5 linked regions of the Sus scrofa genome follow. The protein of the gene in region 1 interacts with the protein of each later gene in a pairwise test. Links are inferred from orthologs where the notes say so. Each region holds a gene or a part of one and is shown in the gene's direction. Other genes may lie near its edges.

Region 1 (4,158 bases):
AAAAAGAGGGTCATTTGTCCTCTGGAAAATGTCCTATTCTGGATTTTGGCTGGTTGCCTCATTTTCTCCATAATTATTTTTTCTGGTAGTTAAATTTAGAGGCTTAATTTGAATCAGGTTCAAATTTCTTGGCAAGAAAACTTAGATGGTGTTTTACACTTTCTATTGCATCACATCAGAAGACACCTAATAACTAATTGTTCCACTTTTAATGATATAAAAATTGGTCACTGGATTTGGGTATTGTGAGCTTGATTTATCCATTTTAAAACTCCCTATCTACTTTTTCCCCTAATGATTTTTTTTTAATGGGCACACCCACTACGTATAGAAGTTTCCCAGCCAGGGACTGAATCTGAGCTGTAGCTGCAGGTCCTTTAACCCACTGCTCTGGGCTGAGAAACCTGCACCTCTGCAGTGACTAGAGATGCCACACTCTGATTCTTAACCCACTGGCTGCAGTGGGAACTCCTCCCTGGGAGGTGATTTGGGGAAAACTGTTTGTAGTTACTGTGAACTTTTTTTTTTCTGTTTGTCTAAACCCCTGCCCACAGGTGAACCAATGTGTCATTGGTACTGCCCAAGCCAACAAGAAATGAAGACGGATCTAGAGTGTGTGTGTGTGTGTGTGTGTGTGTGTGTGTGTGTGACACACACGGGGAAGGGAGGTGGGTGCGGGTGCTTTCTTGGTGGGGGGTGCTGTGATATCTGGGCCTATCAAATAAAGAAGAGGTTTTTTCGCTGTTTTTAAATAAAGGTTTTATTAGCGGTTGCCCAATCAGGGAGATACTTTTCATATCTGTAAAGATGGGAACTGTGGCTCTTCTGTTCTACCCAACAGGCCATGCCCATGCCTTCAGCTCCCATACCCTGTCTCGTGGTCCCCACCTGGGAGGTGTGCCCACCAGGTGGCCAGCCTCCCCTGTGCCACGGCCCCCGCCTGGCAAGAGCACCCCTGGTACTTGTGGGAGGTGGGCGGGGCCGGCGCGCCCTCCCACAAACTGCTGGCTCTCTCCCGCTCTTTCCCTGCCTTCGCGTTCGAACCGCCAGGCCTGCCCCGTCCGCTGCCCATTGGCTGGCTGCTGGTCCGAGCACCCGCCTTGGGAGCGCGGGGCGGGACGCAAGCCCGGACTCTCTCGCGCCAACTGCCTGGGCCACCGCCCGGTGAGGGGGGGGCTCGGTCCTCCCAGGTGCCGCGCGCGGGAGGAGCCACGCGTGCGCAGAAGCGCGACTGCGGGCGGGGCGGGGGGGGCGGGACACAACCCAGCCACGGGGAGGGCGGGGCCGGGGCGGAGGCGGGAGGAGGGCGTGGCGGGGCAATGGGAAGGGTGAATGGAGGGCGGGGTCGTGAACTGAGCCGGGGGGCGGGACTTGGAGTGACCATGAAGGCTGGAGGGGCAGTTAACGGATGTGGCACAGTGCGGGGGCCAGGCCGGAGGCCGGCGGTGGGGAAAGGGGATTCCCTCCTGCCCCGAGGGCAGGTCTCCCTTTGGAGGAAGGGGCTACGGGGATTCCCTCTCACGGCCGGTCCGACTGTCCGCCTGCCCCAGCCGCGGAGAGGCCGCCGCTTGCTTGGCGCCCTCCAGGCCTGCTGGAGGTGAGGGAGGTGGGGTGAGGTGGTGCCCGCCCCCCCACTCCGGCTCCTCCTTCCCCCCAGTCCTTCCCTCCCACCACCCTCCCCCCGAGCCGGTTTGTCCCTCCCCTCCCCTCCTCTCCCCTCCTTCCCCCCGCCGCCTCCTCCTGCCGCTGCCGCTGCTTTGGCTGCTGCGTCATACGCCCCAGAGCTGCCGGGACGGAGGGGCTGGGCCTGGGGACCCCCGGGTCGCTGCCTGCACGCCCCCCGACGCCCAGACGTGCCCTCCCGGCGCGAGGGGTTCGCCTGGGTATCCCACGTCTGCCTCTGCCCGGCTCCCGGCGGCCCCAGCTGTCACTGGTAAGGAGGTGGCGGGAGGCGCCCGTGGGGGGGGGGCAGGGAGCCGGGGGTCGGCGCGCAGGGCGCGGGCGGGAGAGCCGCGCCGCCCTTGCATCGGGTCGGGCTGGGCCGTCTCAAGTCCCCTCTCTCGGACTCGCGGTCCTGGGGAGTAGAGACCGGGACTGGGACACGCCCCCCTCCCGGGGCACTCAAGGAAGTTATCTAACCCAGGGGCCGGGAGCCCCGAATTTGAGGGTGACCTGACATAACCTGGTACCAGGATGATTGTTCTGAATGAGACACGCGGGTCGGGGAGGCAGCCGTTCTCACTCTGGAAAACATCTCCAGAAAAGCTCCCAAAACACATCTCTGGAAAACAGCACCCCAATTATGACACCCCTAAAGAGCAGTAGAAGGTGACAGTAAAAACAGAGTGGTAACCTTTGCTTCTGCAACCATCACTTTTGCTAAAATCTCAAGGCCAGGATATAACATCCCAAGGGAGCCGGAAACTAGAGAACTAGGTTGGGGAGGGGGTGCATGGTAGGGAGAAGAGAGCCAGGGGTGGCTCCGGTGAGGCTGAGGAAGGGCCTGGAGGTTCCCTTGCACCCTCTCAGGGATATGGAGACTGGGACACACCTGCTTGAGTCCTTGACAGAGAAATACACAAGGAAAATGGGGACCAGTTCCTCAGCATTCAAAACTTTCTCCTCCCATCCCGCTTCTGGCTAGGCCCCCCCAGGATGCAATGGCACAGCCCCCCCGGCTGAGCCGCTCTGCTGCCCCCCCACTTTGGGACCCAGCTTCCTCTGCTTCCACCTCAGGCCCCAGGCCTCGACTTTGGGAGGGTCAAGATGTGCTGGCCAGGTGGACAGATGGGCTGCTATACTTGGGGACCATCAAAAAGGTATGACCTTTGACTTCTGACCTGTCACCTTTTCCCCATTCCTCCTATCTAGTTCTGATTCCCATTTGATCTTCTGGGCTCACCCATTGCAGGTGGACAGTGCTCGGGAGGTGTGTCTGGTCCAGTTTGAGGATGATTCCCAGTTTCTGGTTCTATGGAAAGACATTAGCCCTGGTGAGAGGCCTGCATCCCATGGATAACAGATACCTGGCATGGGGGTTGGACAGGCCCCCTGAACGTTGTGTTCCTCCCCAACAGCTGCCCTCCCTGGGGAGGAACTCCTCTGCTGTGTATGTCGCTCTGAGACTGTGGTCCCTGGAAATCGGCTGGTCAGCTGTGAAAAGTGTCGCCATGGTGAGAGGGCAGGACACCTGAAGGACCCAGCTTGCCCTGGGTCTTCCAGGCTGCCTCTCCCCCCTTCCCTCCAGCAGTGGTTCTTATGTCACCTGCCCTGGCCGGTCTCCTCAACCCTGTAACCTCACTCCCTCCCTGTACAGGGAGAGGCACCCATGGGTGGAGATGTGTGAGCTTTGCAGGCAGAGGGTACTTCAGGTACACCTTTTTCTAAGCACATGACCTTGGGCCAGTTCCTAAACCTCTAAGAGCCACAGTTCCCTCCCCTGCTTTTTTTTTTTGGTCACTTTGGAGAAAGAATTCAGCAGAGATTGAGGACAAGTGAGGCTATTAAGTGTTTATTTAGAGAGCGAAGATAGGTGCAGAGAAAATATAGGTACAGGCAGGCTGGGCAGGGGAGGGGGTGGGAAGGGAGAGAGAAAAAGAGAAAGAGCAAGAGAGGAAGAGCCTTCCCTGCTTATAAAGTAAAGGTCATACACCCACCCTGCAGGACCATGATCAAGAAGGAAATGAGAATTTCCAGCTGTGGCTCAGTGGGTTAAGGACCCAGTGCTGTTTCTGTGAGGATGCAGGTTCAATCCCTGGCCTCAGTGGGTTAAGGATCCCATGTTGCCATGAACTGCAGCATAGGTCACAGATGTGGCTTGGATCTGGTGGCGGTGGTTGTGGTGTAGGCCGGCAGCTGCAGCTTTGATTTGACCTCTAGCCTGGGAACTTCCATGTGCTGCAAGTGCAGCTGTTAACAGAGAAAAGAAGGAAATCAGATAAGACTCTTCCCATCCCAATACCTGGCACACACAGGTCTGCAGGCCGTAAGTAGCCTACTCTCAACATTGTCCTTATTCAGCTTATCACCAGGATTGCCACGTGCCAAGGGCCCCAGCCCCCGGAGAGGGAGAGGGCACACCCTGGGTCTGCCGCCAGTGCGTCTTTGCCATCGCCACCAAGGTAAAGGCATCTTCCCCAGGAGCCCTGGACTGCAACC
Region 2 (4,108 bases), on another chromosome or scaffold:
GGGCCTCACCCGCAGCATATGTAGGTTCCCAGGCTAGGGAACTAATCGGAGCTGTAGCTGCTAGCCACGGCCACAGCAATTGGGATCCGAGAAACACGTGAGGTAGACCACAGCAACCGGGTCTCAACCCATTGAAACCCGAGTCCTCACGGATACTAGTCGGGTTTGTTAACCACTGAGCCAGGAGGGAGGGGGAACTCCTTCCTCATTCCTTTTTTTTTCGTCTTTTTAGGGCCACTAATGGCCACACTCGAGGCATGCGGAGGTTCCCGGGCTAGGGGGTCTAATCGGGGCTAGAGCTTGCCCGCCCTGCACCACAGGTACAGCACCGCCATTTCCGAGCCGCGTATGCGAACTACACCACAGGTCACCGCAACTCCGGATCCTTAACCTGCTGAGCAGGACAGGGATCCAACCTGCAACCTCATGGTTCCTAGTCGGATTCGTTTCCACTTGCGCCACAGTGGGAACTCTGTGTCTTCCTCATTCTTGTTTCCACTACCAGCAAGCCCTGGTGTTTCTACCTGTTAGCATAGGCATCTACTCCTTGGTCCAAAGTTGCCAATCTCCTGTCTGCTTGCAACAGCCTCTTAATTGGTCTGCTCTTATTAATTGGTCTGCTCACTCACTGTTGCCCCTCCCTGATAAATTCTTGGCATAATAGCCAGAATGACCTTTTATTTTTTTATTTTTTAGTCTTTTGCTGTTGTTGTTGCTATTTCTTGGGCCGCTCCCGCGCATATGGAGGTTCCCAGGCTAGGGGTCGAATCGGAGCTGTAGCCACCGGCCTACGCCAGAGCCACTGCAACTCGGGATCCGAGCCGCGTCTGCAACCTACACCACAGCTCACGGCAACGCCGGATCGTTAACCCACTGAGTGGGGGCAGGGATCGAACCCGCAACCTCATGGTTCCTAGTCGGATTCGTTAACCACTGCGCCACGACGGGAACTCCCCAGAATGGCCTTTTAAAAACGTTTATTAGATCATGTCTCTCCCCGCCTAAAATGGCTCAGCGGCTTCACGCTGCAGTATGCCCCCACCCACTCACTGGGCTCTGCCATTGCAGGCCCCATTCAGTTCCTAGAAGACAGACCTTTTTACTGCCTCCAGGCCTTAGCACGCACTTCTTGTGGCAGAAACCCTCTCCCCCCGACCCGTTGTTTGGTTCTCAGATTTAACATTCCCTTCTCAGAGAGTAGGCAGTGACCCTCTCCTTACTACCCTCATCTCGGCATTCTAATGTATTCAGGCACCTGAGCACACTGTGATTTTATTTACATTTTTATTGTCTGTTTCCCCTTACTAGGACTTAAGCTACGAAGACTGGGCCTATGCTAGTCTTGCTCACCAATTAAAAAAAAAGAAATTATGAGCCATGAGATTACTCAACAGCCCGTTATCGACACAGACGAAAGGAGCCGGCCAAAAGGGCTGCAGCTGTTGGCGAGTCCCAACACGGCACCTGGAGATCATTAAGATAACTGCAGCATTAGTGAGAGAAGCCCCTAGAGACTGGGCTCGCGGTGTGTGCAGGTGCGGGCTTTCCTGGCTAAACTCTTCACCTGGGCTCCGCAAAGCCTCAGAATACCTGAAGCAGGTAAGAGAGGTTAGCGGGCCGGGAAGGGAGTCCACCAAGTTTTACACATCACGCCATCTGGGACCGCCCTTTTAGAGAAACAAGGCAATTATGCAACGACCTCAGCTTTACACCTGTCCTGCTTCAGGCCAGCAGACCCAATAGACGGTAGAGTGCCGCGAATCTGAACCGCCCAGCATAAGTAACCCCAAGCAGCACCGCCGGGGCGGAATCGGTCCTGCGCTCCCACCCCCCTCTCCCAGGTAATTACTCCTTCCTTCCGGAAGCTCGGAGGCCCCGCCCACTTCCGCAACGCTCAGTCCGCCGCGCGGCGGGACTCAGCCAATGGCCTGCTTCCCAAGAAACGTTACCTCTGACCTCAGGGCTAATCAAGAGACAGTAGGACTAACGCCTCGCGAGAGGTGAGGTTGAAGCTGTCTCCGCCATCTTGGAGACGGGAGACGGGCGATGGCTGTGGTCCTTCTGCTAATGCAAACAACAAAACGGACACATTAGTCGCTCCCGAGTGAGCCTCTCGTCATTGTAACTGTTGACCAAAGCTACGGAAGAAGAGAGGGTGTCAAAGTCGAGCGCGACGACATTGATAGCAGCCTCAACTGCCTGCTGGGGCGGCAGAAGTGAAGTAACCAGGACCGGAAGGATGGTGCAGTCCTGTTCCGCCTACGGCTGCAAGAACCGATATGACAAGGACAAGCCCGTTTCTTTCCACAAGTAAGTATCCTGAGCGCCTCCTGGGCCTCGCAGGGGCTGGGGGCGCGCGGCCCTGCTCGGGGGCGGGGCCAGGCGCGTGTCCGCGCGAGACCTAGTGGGAGGGGCGGGGCGCCGTCTGGCGCTGGGACGGGGAGCGGTGGGCGTGCCCCTGGCGTCACCCGCGGCGCTCCGCCCCGGGATGCGCGTTCTCGGTTGCGTCGCCGCGGAGGCTGTTCCTCGCGCTCCAGTTTCTAGCGGAGCTCAGGGTAGCTAGTTCGCGGCCCACCCACGAAGCCTAGAATTCCCGTGAGTCGTGGGGTGTCCAGACCGAGAGGCAGCTGGGTCTCACCACCAGGGTCGTAGAGAAGCCAGGTAGTAATGCCACTTTAGCCGTAAAGTTGAAGAGGAAACAGCCGGGAAGTCACGAACTTTGATCCCCTGCGGTGGGGGGAGTCCAGCATCACAGCATTTAGGCATTGACGTGGGCGGGATTTCAGGGAGGATGTTTTGGACTCTGCTCCTGAGGACTGCTGAGTTTTAGAGAGAGCTCCAGGCTGAGCACACTATGTTAACGGGCAGTAGTGGTACACTGTGCATGATAAAATCAGCCGGGCTGTCACGGACCTGGAAGAAGCCCTCGGAGGGGGACACGTTCCCAGTTCTAGGGCCGGTTTCACCTTAGAGGTCCTAGGAGGAAACAGGTCTCTCCAAAGAAAGCCGAAAAGTAGAGTGACAATGATAATCCGATGTCTGCACGATGGCATTTTCATTCAGCCAAATTCTATATTTACAGATGTTATCACATAAAAAGTGTTTTGCAATAATCTCAACCGTAAATGGATGATAGCTAAAGAAATAAAAGCCAGTGATAAATTATACGATTTATAGCGAAATAATTTCAAGAGCAAAATCTTAAGTATTCCTTCAGTTTGGAGGGTGGGGCCTTTTATGTTTAACAGGGAATGTGGATACATTTTTGTACATTTGGTGTAACACTAGAGAGCTGAGGGAGCATAGAGAAATCTTGAGAGTGTTGCTGTTTCCCTTCTAAGGGGAGAAACACAACACTTCCAGATTCATTTGAGGGGGTGATATCTTAATATTACTCTTGATTTATTAGAATTTCTGAAAGCTGATGGATTGGCCTCCAGTACTTTCAAAGTCAAGGGAGTAGGTCTGGAGGTGGTGACACCATCGCAGGCTGTTCAGCTACCCACCTTCCAATTTTTTTTTTTTTTCCTTCGTCTTTTTAAGGACTGTTCCAGCTGCACATGGAAGTTCCCAGGCTAGGGGTGGAATTGGAGCTGCAGCTGCTGGCCTACGCCACAGCCACAGCAATGCCAGATTCAAGCCACATCTGTGACCTACACCACAGCTCATGGCAACGCCAGATCCTTAACCCACTGAGCGAGGCCAGGGATCGAACCCGCACTTCATGGTTCCTGGTCAGATTTGTTTCGGCTGCACCACAACGGGAATTCTAGTTATAGGATTTTAAAGCAAGTACATTTTTTAATTTAATCACTGCACCAGTACTGGGAGAATATGGAAGTTTCTGGGCCAGGGATTGAATCCGAGCTGTGGCTGTGATCTACACCGCAGCTGTGCAATGCTGGATCGATAACCCACTGTACCACAGCAGGAACTCCAAAACAAGTCCATTTTTAACAAACTAAGGTAATAAAGGCACAACTAAAAACTGTCCCCCAAAAATGAGCAAAGTTAGCATTTTCATCAAATACTCATTGGTGTGTTAACACCAGTATAAGCTAGTTCCTTCCAAAGCAGGAAAGTCTGGATGTGCCCTTTTTTGGAATAA
Region 3 (4,237 bases), on another chromosome or scaffold:
CCCTAGCCTGGGAACCTCCATATGCCGCGGGAGCGGCCCAAGAAATAGCAACAACAACAACAACAACAACAAAAAGACAAAAGACAAAAAAGACAAAAAAAAAAAAAAAAAGACATTTGCCATGTTTGGGGGGGGGCAATTTTCTCTCTTCGCTAAGCTCCTTCACTTCATCCTCAAAATGAGGACGTGAGGGCTTCCTGGGGGAGGAATTCTAATGCTCCAATTCCTTTGCAGCCTGCCCTGGGACACTCAGGAGCCAGAAATGGCTCAGAAGCTCTGGGTCCTGGAGCAGGTAAGGAATTGGAGATCCAAACTAGAAGCAAGAAAGTCAACAAAAGGGTGAGGAGTAGCATTAAGTATTAATGTCTCCTGAGTACTCTTGAGTACCAGGGTATGGATGGCAGAACATTTCAGAGACGCTTGAATTCCTGGGGAATGAGAAAGCCCTAGTTCACAGCGGTTCCACCGTTGCTGTCAAACTCTGCTCCTCTGTCGGGAAGTTTTCGGGCAATTGGACTACAGATCCCATAATGCACGCAGACTTAAAAAGAGGGTCTCGCCCTGTTCAAAATCCTTTAGAGCCATATGCTAGGGACTACAACTCCCAGAAGGACACGCTCTGCACCGTGGTCCTCACCTTACAGGCAAATTATTCAAGGCCACCCCTGCATCTTCTTTTTTCTAGTCCGAGGAACACGACCCCTTATTTACCAACATCTGAGGGTCACCGGGAGCGAGTTCTCAGCCTCTCTCAAGCCTTGGCTGCTGAGGCGTCACAGTGGCACCGAATGATGACAGGTGAGAATGGGCTGGGGACCTTGGGCTCCTGGGTGTTAGGGAAGAGGGAGTCTGGAGGCCCGGAATCCTAGGTCCTGGTGGGGAGGGGGGTCCGACGACCGCCAGAAACCCTCTGCCTTGGTAAAGAAAGAGCTGGACAGGGCTTGGGGGTTCCAGACCCCAGTAGGAGGGGACTGGATCCCAGGACTGCCGTGTCTGGGGAGGAGAGGACGGGGAGCCTGGACTCCTAGGTTTGAGAGGAAAGTCCTGGGTGTCGGGACTTCTGGGTCCCAAAGTTTGCCATTCTCGTTCTCCGTCCGTCCTCTCCAGGTGGCAGTTTGGACTCTCGAGGAGACCCTCTTCCCCCTGCGTCGCCACCTCCGTCAGATCCCACGCCCTGCGTGTCCTCGCCCCCAAGATCTCCTCCAGTGGCCAGTTCCCACTCCACGGGGTTCTCCCACCGAGGGACTGGGCGCGACGCAGGCCCGGCCTCTTGGGAGCCGACCTGGGATTCCGGGACCGCCCCTCCCGCGCTAACCCCAGACGAGGAGGCGTGGCCTCTGAGAGTCACGCTGCTACAGTCCAGCTTCTGACCCGCCCAAGCAGGGCAGCCAATCAGAGCTGGAGGGCGTGTCCCGGAGGTACTTCCGGGACAGATGGAGCCTCTTCCCTCACCTGAGGGCGTGATCTGGTCCCCTCCCGGTGGCCGAGGAGTGGCTACTTTGGCCAAAGTTTGATTTTCCCAATACTTGTCCAAATTTGGATTAAAACATTGAACTCTTAGTCGATAACTTTCTGTCTGTTTGGAGTTGTGACACCGGTGTCTCGAAGAGGTAGAGCTGGAGTGGTGAACTCCTGGGTCCCGCGGGAGGAGGGGACAGCGGACTCAGCTTTGTGTGTCAGAGGAACGGGGGGAGCTCGAGGTCTGGATTACTGAGTCTGAGGGAGGAGGGGGCCGGCGACCTGGATTCCTGGGTCTGAAGGAAGAGAGGACCCGGGACCTGGACTTTGGAGTCCAAGGTCCGGCAGAGGGGGCCGGACTCCAGGAATCCCGAGTTTGAGGGTTGGGGGACCGGCCTCCTGGGTCTGAGGGAGGAGGGGGCTGGGGCCAAGTTCCAGGCTTCTGGCTTTCCTGGCAACGCCCCCGGGGCCGGGCTTCAGGATCCAGCCCCTATTTATGGTTCGACCCCAAGACCTCACCGGACTTCAGAGGGGGATAGAAGCCTCGAGTGAGTGTGAGTGAGTGGCCGAAGGAGACCTTCTGACGCGGGATGGCAACGGGAACGCGCTATGCCGGGAAGGTGGTAATCGTGACGGGGGGCGGGCGCGGCATCGGAGCTGGGATCGTCCGAGCCTTCGGTGAGTGGGGTCTGGTCGGCTCTGAACAGTGGAGTCTGGGAGCGGAGGGACCCGGGGGCTAATGGGTGTGGGACGAAGTATCTTCTGTACTGGAATCTAGATTCTTGTCTCGTAAAATCCAATTTGCAAAGTTAACGAAGGGAAGGCAGAGGTGGCCTGGGGCCTGAGATTGCGGCGGATTTTCAAATGCCATTGACTCCCTTTCTCTGGGTCTCAGCTATTGCTACAGAATGGGGGGCCGGGGGTGGTGGTTGAAGGAATATGTCTTTTGGAGGTTTAGGGTTTACTCTAGAACCCAGGGATGGAGACTCAGGAGCCCCAGAAGTCACCTGGAATAGCCAAGGAGAAGGCTAGGCTTCTGCCTTTTGCCCTACGGGATCATCATGAGACTTTGGGGTCACGAGGGGAACAGAGCTGGGGCGGTGGTGGGGGGGGAACGGCCCTGTTCCGGGTGGCCACAGAGGGCAGCAGAGATCTTCACCAAGGTCTCTGCAGGGCTAACCTATTCCCTGTCTATTCGCAGTGGAAAGTGGCGCCCAGGTGGTGATCTGTGACAAAGACGGTGAGTGAGGGTCCCCCAGTCCTCAGCCCACTGCCTCCTCCCTTAGATTCAAGAAGAATACAGGCCCCAGCACCCTCCTCCCTCAGACCCAGGATCCAGCCCCAGCCCTCCTCCCTCAGACCCAGGATCCTGGGCCCCCAGCCCCTCCTCTCTGAGACCCAGGCTCCAGCCCCCAGCCCTTCTCTTCCTGCAGAGTCCACTGGTCGGACCCTGGAGCAGGAGCTGCCTGGGTCTGTCTTTGTCCTCTGTGACGTGACTCAAGAGGATGATGTGAAGGTGAGCGCGTAGTTTCTGTCCCTCCCCGTCCCCCTCAATCTCCAATCGTTCTCTCTCTCCCTTCACCCCGGGCTTTGCACATGCTATTCCCTCTACCCTTCCCCATCTCCTGGCTAAATGACACCTGCCCCCAGAGTCTCAGCTCAGTTTCATCGCAAAGCTTTCCTAACTCGGCTGGCCACGTCCTGTGTCTGCCGAGAAGATTCTCCTCTATCTCCCAGGCCTTCAAGGCCCCTGGTCCCTCCTGTCACATGATCTGGATCCAGTAAGAGTTCTCCTTCTCCCAGGGTTTCTCCCCTTCCCTTCATCTGCTCCCCCATCCCCCACCCTCCTGGGTCTCTGGAGTAGTGAGCTCAGGGTGTGTGTCACCAGCCCTCTGGTCTCTGGCACCCTGGCGTCCAGTCTCCTCATCTCCTGCCATGCCTGGCGATTTGGGGTCGGCCCCCACAATGTCCTGTCCCCTCCGCGGTGACTCCGCTTCTGCCACGTCTCACTTGGGGGAGCCCAGCAGGGGCGCCAATGCTGTTCACTCACAAGACAGCTTTCTCCTCAGACCCTCTTTCTGAGACCATCCGCCGCTTCGGCCGCCTGGACTGTGTGGTCAACAACGCCGGCTCCCGTGAGTTGTCAACCCGCTTCCCGGGCTCTGTCCCATTGCTGCTCTGTGTCCCCAGGCCTGTGCCGCCACCTCTTTATGCCTCAGTTTCTACATTTCTAAAATGACAATGACCACCACTGTCCTTGCCATTACAGGGTGTTGAGAGTATTAAATAGTGTAACTGGGCGGAGTTCCCGTCATGGTGCAGAGGAAATGAACCTGACTAGGAACCATGAGGTTGCGGGTTCAGTCCCTGGCCTTGCTCAGTGGGTTAAGGATCTGGCTGTGAGCTGTGGTGCAGATACGGCTCGGATCCCGTATTGCTGTGGCTGTGATGTAGGCCAGAGGCTGTAGCTCCGATTCGACCCCTAGCCTGGGAACCTCCATATGCCACGAGTGCGGCCCTAAAAAAAAAAAAAATTGTGTCACTGCTCAGCCCCCTAATCACCCTAACTGTCTTGGGCAGACAGCGTCCATCTTGCAGCCTCCGTTTTGGTTTGGTTTGGTTTGGTTTTGGCCATGGCATGCAGAAGTTCCAGGGTCAGGGATTGAATCTGCGCCACAGCAGCAATAATGCCAGGTCCTTAGTCTGCTGAGCCACCAGGGAACTCCAACCTCAGTTTCTTTAAAGTGAGGCGGATGGCTCTTTTTTTCTGTGACTGTGA
Region 4 (4,287 bases), on another chromosome or scaffold:
CAAGCACGAGACAAGTGGCAAGGACAAACACGGCAGCCAGGTGTGGAATAGAGTCAGAAGGTGGAATCTACAGAATCTGAGGTATGACACAGATGAGAAAGGAAGGAAAACTTCATGATTTTTACTGGCCTAACCAGATGAACACTGTTTTTATTTTTTTTCCTTGAAGTAAGGAAGGAGTTAGGGAGGTGGGGAAAATGAAAGTTTAAATTAGGAAGTAACTGGAATTCCTGTTGTGGCCTTGCTGTGGCTGTGGCATAGGCCGGCGGCTATAGCCTGGGAACTTCCATATGCCCCTGGGTGCAGCCCTATAATGAGAAAAGGCCAAAAAAAAAAAAAAAAAAAAAGTGAAAATTCTTACAGTTTATATTATGAGGGGAATGATGCAGAATAGGGGGAAATGTAATGATGATGGTGGAGGTAGGAGAGTAGCCACAGCCATGCCCTAGAAGGAGGTGAGGGGTGGATGCCCATCCTGATCCCTGGTCAATTTCCTCCCACTGCGCTAGCATTGGGGCTGTGGGGTCTGTGAAACCCCCACTGGAGGCGCTGCCCACTCTGGAGTGGGGTACCAGGACTATCTCGACAGTTTGGGGGTCAGCCCTAAACCTTCGGAGGGTCAGGGGGTAGGAGTGAGGGCAGGGCATAGGGTCGGGGCGGAGCCAAAGGCCTTTATACCTCTGTCTGCTGCCTTTGGTGGAGTGTTCTGCAAACTTAACTGTAAGCTCCCCCTGTGTCGACCTCAACTAACCCCACCTCCAAGGTTCACCCCCTCCCTCTTCCAGACCAAGTCTGTCCGATTTAGATATTCCTTTTGTGTGTGTGTCTTTGTGTGTCTTTTTGCCTTTTCTAGAGCCGCTCGCCGCAGGAGCGGCATTATGGAGATTCCCGGGCTAGGGGTCTAATCGGAGCCATAGCCACTGGTCAGAGTCACAGCAACGTGGGATCCAAGCCGCGTCTGCGACCTGCACCACAGCTCACGGCAACGCCGGATACTTAACCCGCTGAGCAAGGCCAGGGATCAAATTTGTTAACCACTGCGCCACGACGGGAACTCCCGATTTAGATATTCTTGAGCTATCAATGGCTGTGCCTTACGCCAAACTATGCCTATCTTCACGGTGGCCTGTGAGGCGAGTATTACTGTCCCACTTTCCCAGTAGGAAACTAGGGTTTAGAGATGACTCAGGTCCAGATCTGCCTGGTTTGCTTGGTGACTTGCTTTTCACTCGGCCAGAGGGAGGCGCAAGGGGCTGGGCGAGCCGCGGGTTGGGCTGTCCAGCAGCCCAGACCCCCCCACACCCTACCCAGGCCCCGCCCCATTAAGGGGACCAGGGAGAGCCTTGCCTTACAGCGCAAAGAGAGACCGGACTTCGTGATTGGGCGGTACGGAAGGATTCGGCGGGGCTTCCTACTGCCTGGGAGACTGCTCATGGGCTCAACTTTTGACGGAGGCGTGGCCACAGGCCACGCCCCCTCCAGCGGGCTCATAACTGATGTCTGCGGCGGGGGCGGGGCCAGAACGCGGGCGGCGGATCCCAGCGCGGCTCTCTGGAGCCCGCTGCTGAGCAGCGCCCCGGAGGGGCCGAGCAGGTACAGGCGACTGTGCGGGGCGTTTCGGGCTGGGCCAGGCGGGGGGGCAGAGGCCTGTTAGGGGCCACAGCGGGCACTAGGGGTCGTGGCCAAAGCTGCGCTTCCTCCGGCGTGCGGGAGCCGCTACCCCCGCCCCCGCCTTCCTGAGGCGAAGCCGGCTGCGGCGGGGCCGATTGGCGCCTGCGCCGCTTCCTGCCCCCGGGACTCGGCCAATGCATGGGGCCGGGGCGGGGAACCAGGGGGAAACCGAGTCACGTCAGGAGGGTAGGCCTGTGGGGGAGGCATCACCCCCACTGAACTCTAGGATGAATTCCCTTCCTGGCCACGCTTTGAAGTCCCAGTCCCCACCGACCTACGCAGGGGCCGCGCACCCGCCCAGTTCCCCCAGCGCTCAGGGGTCTCGCCCTGGGTCACGGCAGCTTCGACTAGTCCGGGAATGGCTAGTACCCGCTCCAGCCGCCTCCCCCCCTTCCCCTCCCCCTCGCGTCCCGAGCCCCCGTGTGTTCCCTCCGTTGGCTCTCCGCACAGTGTCAGCTTACACGCCTTATATAGTCCGAGCAGGCTCCAGCCGTGGCCTGCCTGCCGGGACCTGGGGGCGGGGGAAAGGAGGAACGCCGGCCCCGGACTGGCCTTGCCGTCTAGTTCCAGGCTCAAGGATGGCTTGGGGGGAAGCCAGAGCCAAATTAGCCCTGCGATCCACTCCTGGATGAAAAGAATCTCAAGGCTGGATTCGGGCTCCCCTCACCCACCCTGTCCCTTGGGGAAGGGGGGTTGCCGCTGCCTTTCCAAAGTGAAGTCTGCCAGCTAGCAGCCCAGCCAAACTTAACAAGTTACCCTCCTACCCTTGCCCTGGGTGTGCTCAGCGTCTGCTCGTGCCTTCCTGGCACTAGTCCAAGCCTGATGTCCAGAGCTAGGCCTGCCTGTGTACCCACCATGCCAGCTGCTCACCTTTTCTCTCCTCTCAGGAGCGGCACCATGGATTCCTTCAAGGTGGTGCTGGAGGGGCCAGCACCTTGGGGCTTCCGGCTGCAGGGGGGCAAGGACTTCAATGTGCCCCTCTCCATCTCCCGGGTGAGCCTAGATTGAGGGAGGGGCTCCCCCAGGGGTCTTGGGGTGCTCAGATCTCCAGTGGGTGACAGAAAGAGCCTGAACAGGAGTGAGCCACGGCCGGTAGGCCAGGAGGTGCCCAGGTCCAGATATGTGGGCACTGCCACGAAGACTACCAACCTAACTAGGGAGATACTAGGAGAGGAGCCCCCACACTTCCCTAGCACTGCACTGTACCTGATGCTGTTCCACGAAGCTCCTGTGGCCACCTCCAAGGCCCAGGGGGATGCCCATTCTGAGGTCTCCAGGAAGTGTCTAAGCTCCTTGAGAGAGCAATGCTTGGAGCTAGGCCCCAGGCAGGGCTCTCTGACTGCAGGATCTCACTTCATTCTCACTGCCACCCAGGGAATAGCAACTGTCATCCTGTTTTTCCAGATGAGCTAACTCAGGACTCGGAGAGGTGAAAGGGCTCCTTCAGCAACTCCGTGGCAAAACAGGGATTGGAATTCAGCCACAGGGATGGCCAGCAGTCTGTGTGTGTGAGGGGTGCCTCTCCCCGGCCTGTGTGAGGACCTTCCATCCCATCCACTGGTCCCATTCAGGATGGAGTGGGCTTTGACCCCAAGCAGGGGTTGGGATGGGTCTCTAGGACTCTGACTTCAGCTTCTGAGATCCTGTCCTGGTGGGGGTGGAGCTAGGGGCCGGCTCCTCCCTGTGGCAGGGGGATTGCCTTATAAGCCCAAGAATGCAGCCCCACGCAGGGATGGCCAACTGGTGGCTGGAGTCTGCAGGGCTGAAAAAGGCTGGTCTGGGCCTGGACCCCTGACCACATCAGTGGGCCCCTCAGCTCATCGCCCCCAGGCTGTGGCTCTAGCCATGGGATCGGCCGTGGGACATGTAAAACAAGCTGCCTGCCCTGAGAGAGAGTCCAGCCCTTGGGCTGGTATCTCTCACTGTGGTGGGGGGTGGAGGGTGGGTTCAGGAGGAGGTGGGGACTTCCTGCTCCCATATCCGCTTATCCAGAGAGACCCACCCAGGCTCCTGGTGGGCAGGCAGCTATTGGCAGGAAGCCCAGGGCAAGCACAGCCTAGAGGGGGCCGGAGGGTTGTCCAGCCGCAGCTGAGCTCAAGGGGGCCCCAAAGCAGAGTCTGTCGGAATTGGGCTTGGTGGCCAGAACAGCTAGGCTGTCACTGTTCTCAGGGATCCTACCCTGGGAGCTGCGCTGCCGGAAGGGTAGCTAAGGGCAGTGATCTCCCTACCACATATACCCACCCTGTACACAATTCTCGAGTCTCTCCAGCCCTGGAAACCTCCCCCTGTATACCCCTTCCCTGGGAAAGTGCTAGCCAGTGTGACTGGGTAGCTGTAGGCCTTGGCTTGGCCTCTGAGCCTCAGTTTCTTCCTTGGTGAGGATGGGCAACAAAGTAGCCTAGGGGATGGACTTTCAGATGTGGCCTGCTGGGGGCACCCTGAGCCCAGGCTCCCTTGTCAGCAGGCCTAGCATGTGGGTGGGGCCACCAGCTGAGCCCAGCCCTGGAGTTGGACCTAGGCCCTGGTGGGTGGGCGGGTGTGTAGGGTGGTCTTTTCTGAGCTGGGCCCGCCCTCTCTCCCTCTACCCTGACCCCAGCGTGGAGTGGGGAGGGAGGG
Region 5 (3,928 bases), on another chromosome or scaffold:
CACAATAACTAGACTAAATTTCACAAATGAAGCTGAAGCCTGGTAACACTGTCATTGCCGCGTCAAGAGATAAGAGACAGAGGAAAAAACCACTTTAGATACCCGCTGTTAATGGTCTCATTTGACAGGGCTCTCCCCAGGGTAGGGAGGTCAACTACTGCCAAAAATCTCTCCGGTGACTGCAGCAGCATATAACAGAGTAAGTAATTTACCACGTATCTATTCCATTTTACAGGGCGATTCTCAAACTCAAAACCCAAAGCGAGGAAACGGCTTCCTCACGCTGGGCGCCCAAGGACAGAGAGGAGGACGAGTACTGACAGTGCTTAAGAAGGACGAGGCCTACATTCCAGAGGCAGGTCTATGTGCCATGAAGCTTCGAGAACTAGTGAGAGAAGGGGAGAAAACAGATTACTGGGAGCCGGGTTCGCAAAGTTTACCTTTCAAGGCCAGCAGGTGCTCCTGCTTGGGGGGATTCACTTCCATTGTGACCGGCACTTTGGAGCCACTGCCTACGGAGGCTGAAGCGGTTCAAACAGCCCGGAAGAAAACAGAAAAGCGCACGTCCGTGAAGACAAGGCATTAAAGACACTCCCAACAGTTTCTGTCTGCCGGTAGCGCCTTATATACTCTTCTAACCACGTCCTTTACTGACCCAACGGCTCCTTTTTACCAAAGTCATCTCTTGCCTCTTACAGGCCTATACATAAAATACTTCTCTATTTTCCAGCCACAGCCACACGCCGCTCTTTCAAGAAAGCACTCCACGGTAACAATACACAACCTCCCAAATACCTACACTGCAGAGTAATTGATATAAATGTGGCACGCTGGGATTTGTAGTTTAAAAGCCGCATGGCATGCAGGGAGATGTAGTCCCCGGTCTCCGTTCGTTAGAGGGAAGAAGTCATTGCTGGGGTAGGAGTTTCATCCCAACAATTTTCTTCTGTTTTATCCTCTCTTTTTTCCCTTAATTTTGTTCCTTCTATCAAGTTCAGACTCCTCAATAATAACAAAATAACAAAGCGCATCCACTGAAGAGTGTGCAGCCAATCAGCAAACGAGTGCCAGAAGGAGGAGCGAAGAAGTCGGCCCCGCGGCTTCTCCGCGTCGTACTGCGCCTGTGCACCAGCAGCGAGCGCCTAGGCTTCTGGGTAGGTGGCTCTACCCCGCCTCTTAGTGAAGGCCTTGACTGCTGCTTCTGCGGCACTGCACCTCCTAGGATGGCTGCCCTGGTTGTAAACAGGCCTGGTGCGGGACTAGACAGTGGTCGTCAGGGCAGCCGGGGGACAGCGGTGGTGAAGGTGAGGGACCTTGCGTACTCTGTTCTCCGCCATCTGCCTCCAGTTCATGCCGGAGATCTGGCGGCACTACAGCGGCCCTGGCTGTTGGGGGCCGGTATGCGCGGCCCTCTGGGCCCCTCTCGGCTTTACAAGCTTTGCCCTCCCTTCCTGAGGCCTGAGGTTGCATGGTCTCCTGGTCATGCTAGTCTTCTGCTTGGAGTCGCCAACGGGGACATTTGTGAAAAGGAGCCTATCGACATGTTAGAGTGACCTGGGCTGGTCTTTCTCCAGGTCCTCTGCTTGTAGTTCAGCCCAACAGGCGTTGATTAGCCTTTTTTTTTTTTTTTTTTTTTAAATTAAATTGAGCCATTATTATTGCCAGGTACTACGTTAGGTATGTAAGATCGTTAATATCTATTAGAGGTAAATGTTGATTCTCGTTTTACGGGTGAGGAAACTAAAGTTTCGAATAACACTGTATAGTGGAGCCACAGCTGACTGGCTTTAAAGTACACTTTTCACTATCGTATTACTTCTGTAATGAGAGCTCTATTTTTGCTTGACCTGCTCCTTCCTTTCTTTTTGTAGTACAGTTTGTCAGCACTTTTGAGAAGTCTCCAAAAGTCCCATTAACTCTGGGGAATGTGAATTGCCCTATGACTGAACTTTGAAATTGTATCATGTGTAGATGCTCTAAAATGTATTTACTAAGAAATCAATTGAAATATGTGGAATTCGTTTTTCCATATATAGATAAATAGAGATTCGGAAGGGAGAACTGATTTCAGTGGTTTATAGAATAAGCTAGGAAGATTTATAATCTGTGCTATTGAAAATTCTTATTCCTGACTTCATATTAGAATAGCTGAGGACTTAAAAAAAAAAAAAATAAAAATTAGGCCCCCGGTTCTGATGAAGTTGACATCAGTGTATTTTTTTCATTCCCAGAGTGGTTTTAATGCACAAACTGTTCAGAACCACTGGGTCAGATATCTGAAATTTTCTTAGAATCTTAAATAGTAGACACCTATGATTTTTCACCTAATGTTGGTTTTATATGACATCAAATGATACATTTCTGCTAACAACTGTATTAATCAGTATTGGTAGTTGTTGATTCATCTGACCTTTATATGTTAATGACATTCTGAAGTACATAGACTATCTGAAATGCAGAAGAGCGCTCTTATTAAGCTTGTTGTATGGTTGAGTTTTTATTTATTGAATTATTCTTTTTCTTTTTTAAATTTTATTTACTTAATAATGATTTTTATTTTTTCCATTATAGCTGGCTTAGTGTTCCTTTTTTTTTTTTTTTTTTTTGTCTTTTTAGGGCCACACTCGTGGCACATGGAGGTTCCCAGGCTAGGGGTCCAATTGGAGCTGTAGCCGCCAGCCTACACCACAGCCACAGCAGTGCAGGATCTGAACCTTATCGGTGATCTACACCACAGCTCATGGCAATACCAGATCCTTAACCCACTGAGCGAGGCCAGGAATTGAACATGCATCCTCATGGATACTAGTCAGGTTCATTAACCACTGAGCCATGATGGGAACTCCAAATTAGGCTTTTTCTTTTTCTTTTTTTCTTTTTTTTTTTGCTTTTTAGAACTGCACTTAATGGCATATAGAGGTTCCCAGGCTAGAGGGTGAATCGGAGCTATGGGCTGCTGGCCTGTGCCACAGCCACAGCAAAGCCAGATCCGACCTACAGCACAACTCCCAGCAACGCTGGCTCCTTAGCCCACTGAGTGAGGCCAGGGATCGAAAGGGCATCCTCATGGATCCTAGTCGGGTTCGTTAACCACTGAGCCACGAGGGTAACTCCAGGCTTTTTCTAAGTAGAGAATACCTGTATGTTATTTTGTGAATTAACTTCAGTTAACAAGTTCTTAATTGAAATAGATATTATTGCTGTTAGCTCCTTTTGTTTTGTTACCCTGTTTGCCTTAAAATCTCAGAAATACACCAAAGCCTGCTGTAACTGTGGTTTGTTATAACACAGTTTGTTATGGTTTGTTATAACACAGTTTGTTATAGTACAGGCTCATTTTGTTAATTTTCATTTTTGTATGTAAACTGTGCCTAAGCTGTGCAATAGGATAGTCGTTTTTGGCAAGATCCTCATGGTATAATTTTTAAGAAATATGTTGGTATAAAATAAAAATCTTATTGTCATTTTCATAGATGAAAGCAAGCAATATTTATTGGAAGGTAAAAGTTAAAGTATATAATGCTAATGTATACATGGAAAATGGCTTCCTGCTTAATGGACGAGTTGATTATGACAGGGTTTTTGTTTTGCTTTTTTTTTCTTTCTTTTTTTAGGGCCACACCCGTGGCATACAGAGTTTCCCAGGCTAGGGGTCTCATTGGAGCTACAGCTGCCAGCCTACATCACAGCCACAGCAACTCCAGATCCAAGCTGTGTCTTCGATCTACACCACTGCTTATGGCAACGCCGGATCCCTAACCCATTGAGCGAGGCCACAGATTGAACCCACAACCTCATGGTTCCTAGTCATATTCATTTCCACTGAGCCACAGTGGGAACTCCTGACAGGGTTTTTATCATTAGGAAAAATAGACACAAATCCGATATGAAATTATTATTATTATTGTTATTATTATTATTTTCTCTT

Evidence for each region.
Region 2: the proteins of PHF1 (region 1) and THAP1 interact in binary tests that used the Homo sapiens proteins (3 or more experiments, as listed by UniProt). The two-hybrid records come from large-scale screens. The link is inferred for Sus scrofa from reciprocal best matches to the Homo sapiens genes PHF1 and THAP1.
Region 3: the proteins of PHF1 (region 1) and HSD17B14 interact in binary tests that used the Homo sapiens proteins (3 or more experiments, as listed by UniProt). The two-hybrid records come from large-scale screens. The link is inferred for Sus scrofa from reciprocal best matches to the Homo sapiens genes PHF1 and HSD17B14.
Region 4: the proteins of PHF1 (region 1) and PDLIM7 interact in binary tests that used the Homo sapiens proteins (3 or more experiments, as listed by UniProt). The two-hybrid records come from large-scale screens. The link is inferred for Sus scrofa from reciprocal best matches to the Homo sapiens genes PHF1 and PDLIM7.
Region 5: the proteins of PHF1 (region 1) and TRIM23 interact in binary tests that used the Homo sapiens proteins (3 or more experiments, as listed by UniProt). The two-hybrid records come from large-scale screens. The link is inferred for Sus scrofa from reciprocal best matches to the Homo sapiens genes PHF1 and TRIM23.

What each region holds. Positions count from the first base shown.
Region 1 is NC_010449.5:29,712,939-29,717,096, forward strand, and holds the start of PHF1 (PHD finger protein 1), read left to right. Parts: upstream 1-1,358; 5' UTR 1,359-1,933; intron 1,934-2,644; 5' UTR 2,645-2,660; coding exon 2,661-2,819; intron 2,820-2,911; coding exon 2,912-2,993; intron 2,994-3,077; coding exon 3,078-3,173; intron 3,174-4,020; coding exon 4,021-4,121; intron 4,122-4,158. Other genes in the region: kinesin-like protein KIFC1, read left to right, coding at 555-599. UniProt on the Homo sapiens protein: Polycomb group (PcG) that specifically binds histone H3 trimethylated at 'Lys-36' (H3K36me3) and recruits the PRC2 complex. Involved in DNA damage response and is recruited at double-strand breaks (DSBs).
Region 2 is NC_010459.5:11,770,522-11,774,629, reverse strand, and holds the start of THAP1 (THAP domain-containing protein 1), read left to right. Parts: upstream 1-1,308; 5' UTR 1,309-2,239; coding exon 2,240-2,310; intron 2,311-4,108. UniProt on the Homo sapiens protein: DNA-binding transcription regulator that regulates endothelial cell proliferation and G1/S cell-cycle progression.
Region 3 is NC_010448.4:54,141,344-54,145,580, reverse strand, and holds the start of HSD17B14 (17-beta-hydroxysteroid dehydrogenase 14), read left to right. Parts: upstream 1-1,437; 5' UTR 1,438-1,610; intron 1,611-1,970; 5' UTR 1,971-2,048; coding exon 2,049-2,136; intron 2,137-2,659; coding exon 2,660-2,698; intron 2,699-2,891; coding exon 2,892-2,974; intron 2,975-3,511; coding exon 3,512-3,593; intron 3,594-4,237. UniProt on the Homo sapiens protein: Catalyzes the NAD(+)-dependent oxidation of L-fucose, yielding L-fucono-1,5-lactone, which rapidly converts spontaneously to L-fucone-1,4-lactone. Can also act on D-arabinose and L-galactose, with lower catalytic efficiency. Does not use NADPH.
Region 4 is NC_010444.4:80,451,526-80,455,812, forward strand, and holds the start of PDLIM7 (PDZ and LIM domain protein 7), read left to right. Parts: upstream 1-1,487; 5' UTR 1,488-1,593; intron 1,594-2,558; 5' UTR 2,559-2,568; coding exon 2,569-2,664; exon of another isoform or gene 2,665-4,287. UniProt on the Homo sapiens protein: May function as a scaffold on which the coordinated assembly of proteins can occur. May play a role as an adapter that, via its PDZ domain, localizes LIM-binding proteins to actin filaments of both skeletal muscle and nonmuscle tissues.
Region 5 is NC_010458.4:44,143,492-44,147,419, reverse strand, and holds the start of TRIM23 (E3 ubiquitin-protein ligase TRIM23), read left to right. Parts: upstream 1-1,128; 5' UTR 1,129-1,223; coding exon 1,224-1,304; intron 1,305-3,928. Other genes in the region: TRAPPC13 (trafficking protein particle complex subunit 13), read right to left, coding at 441-486.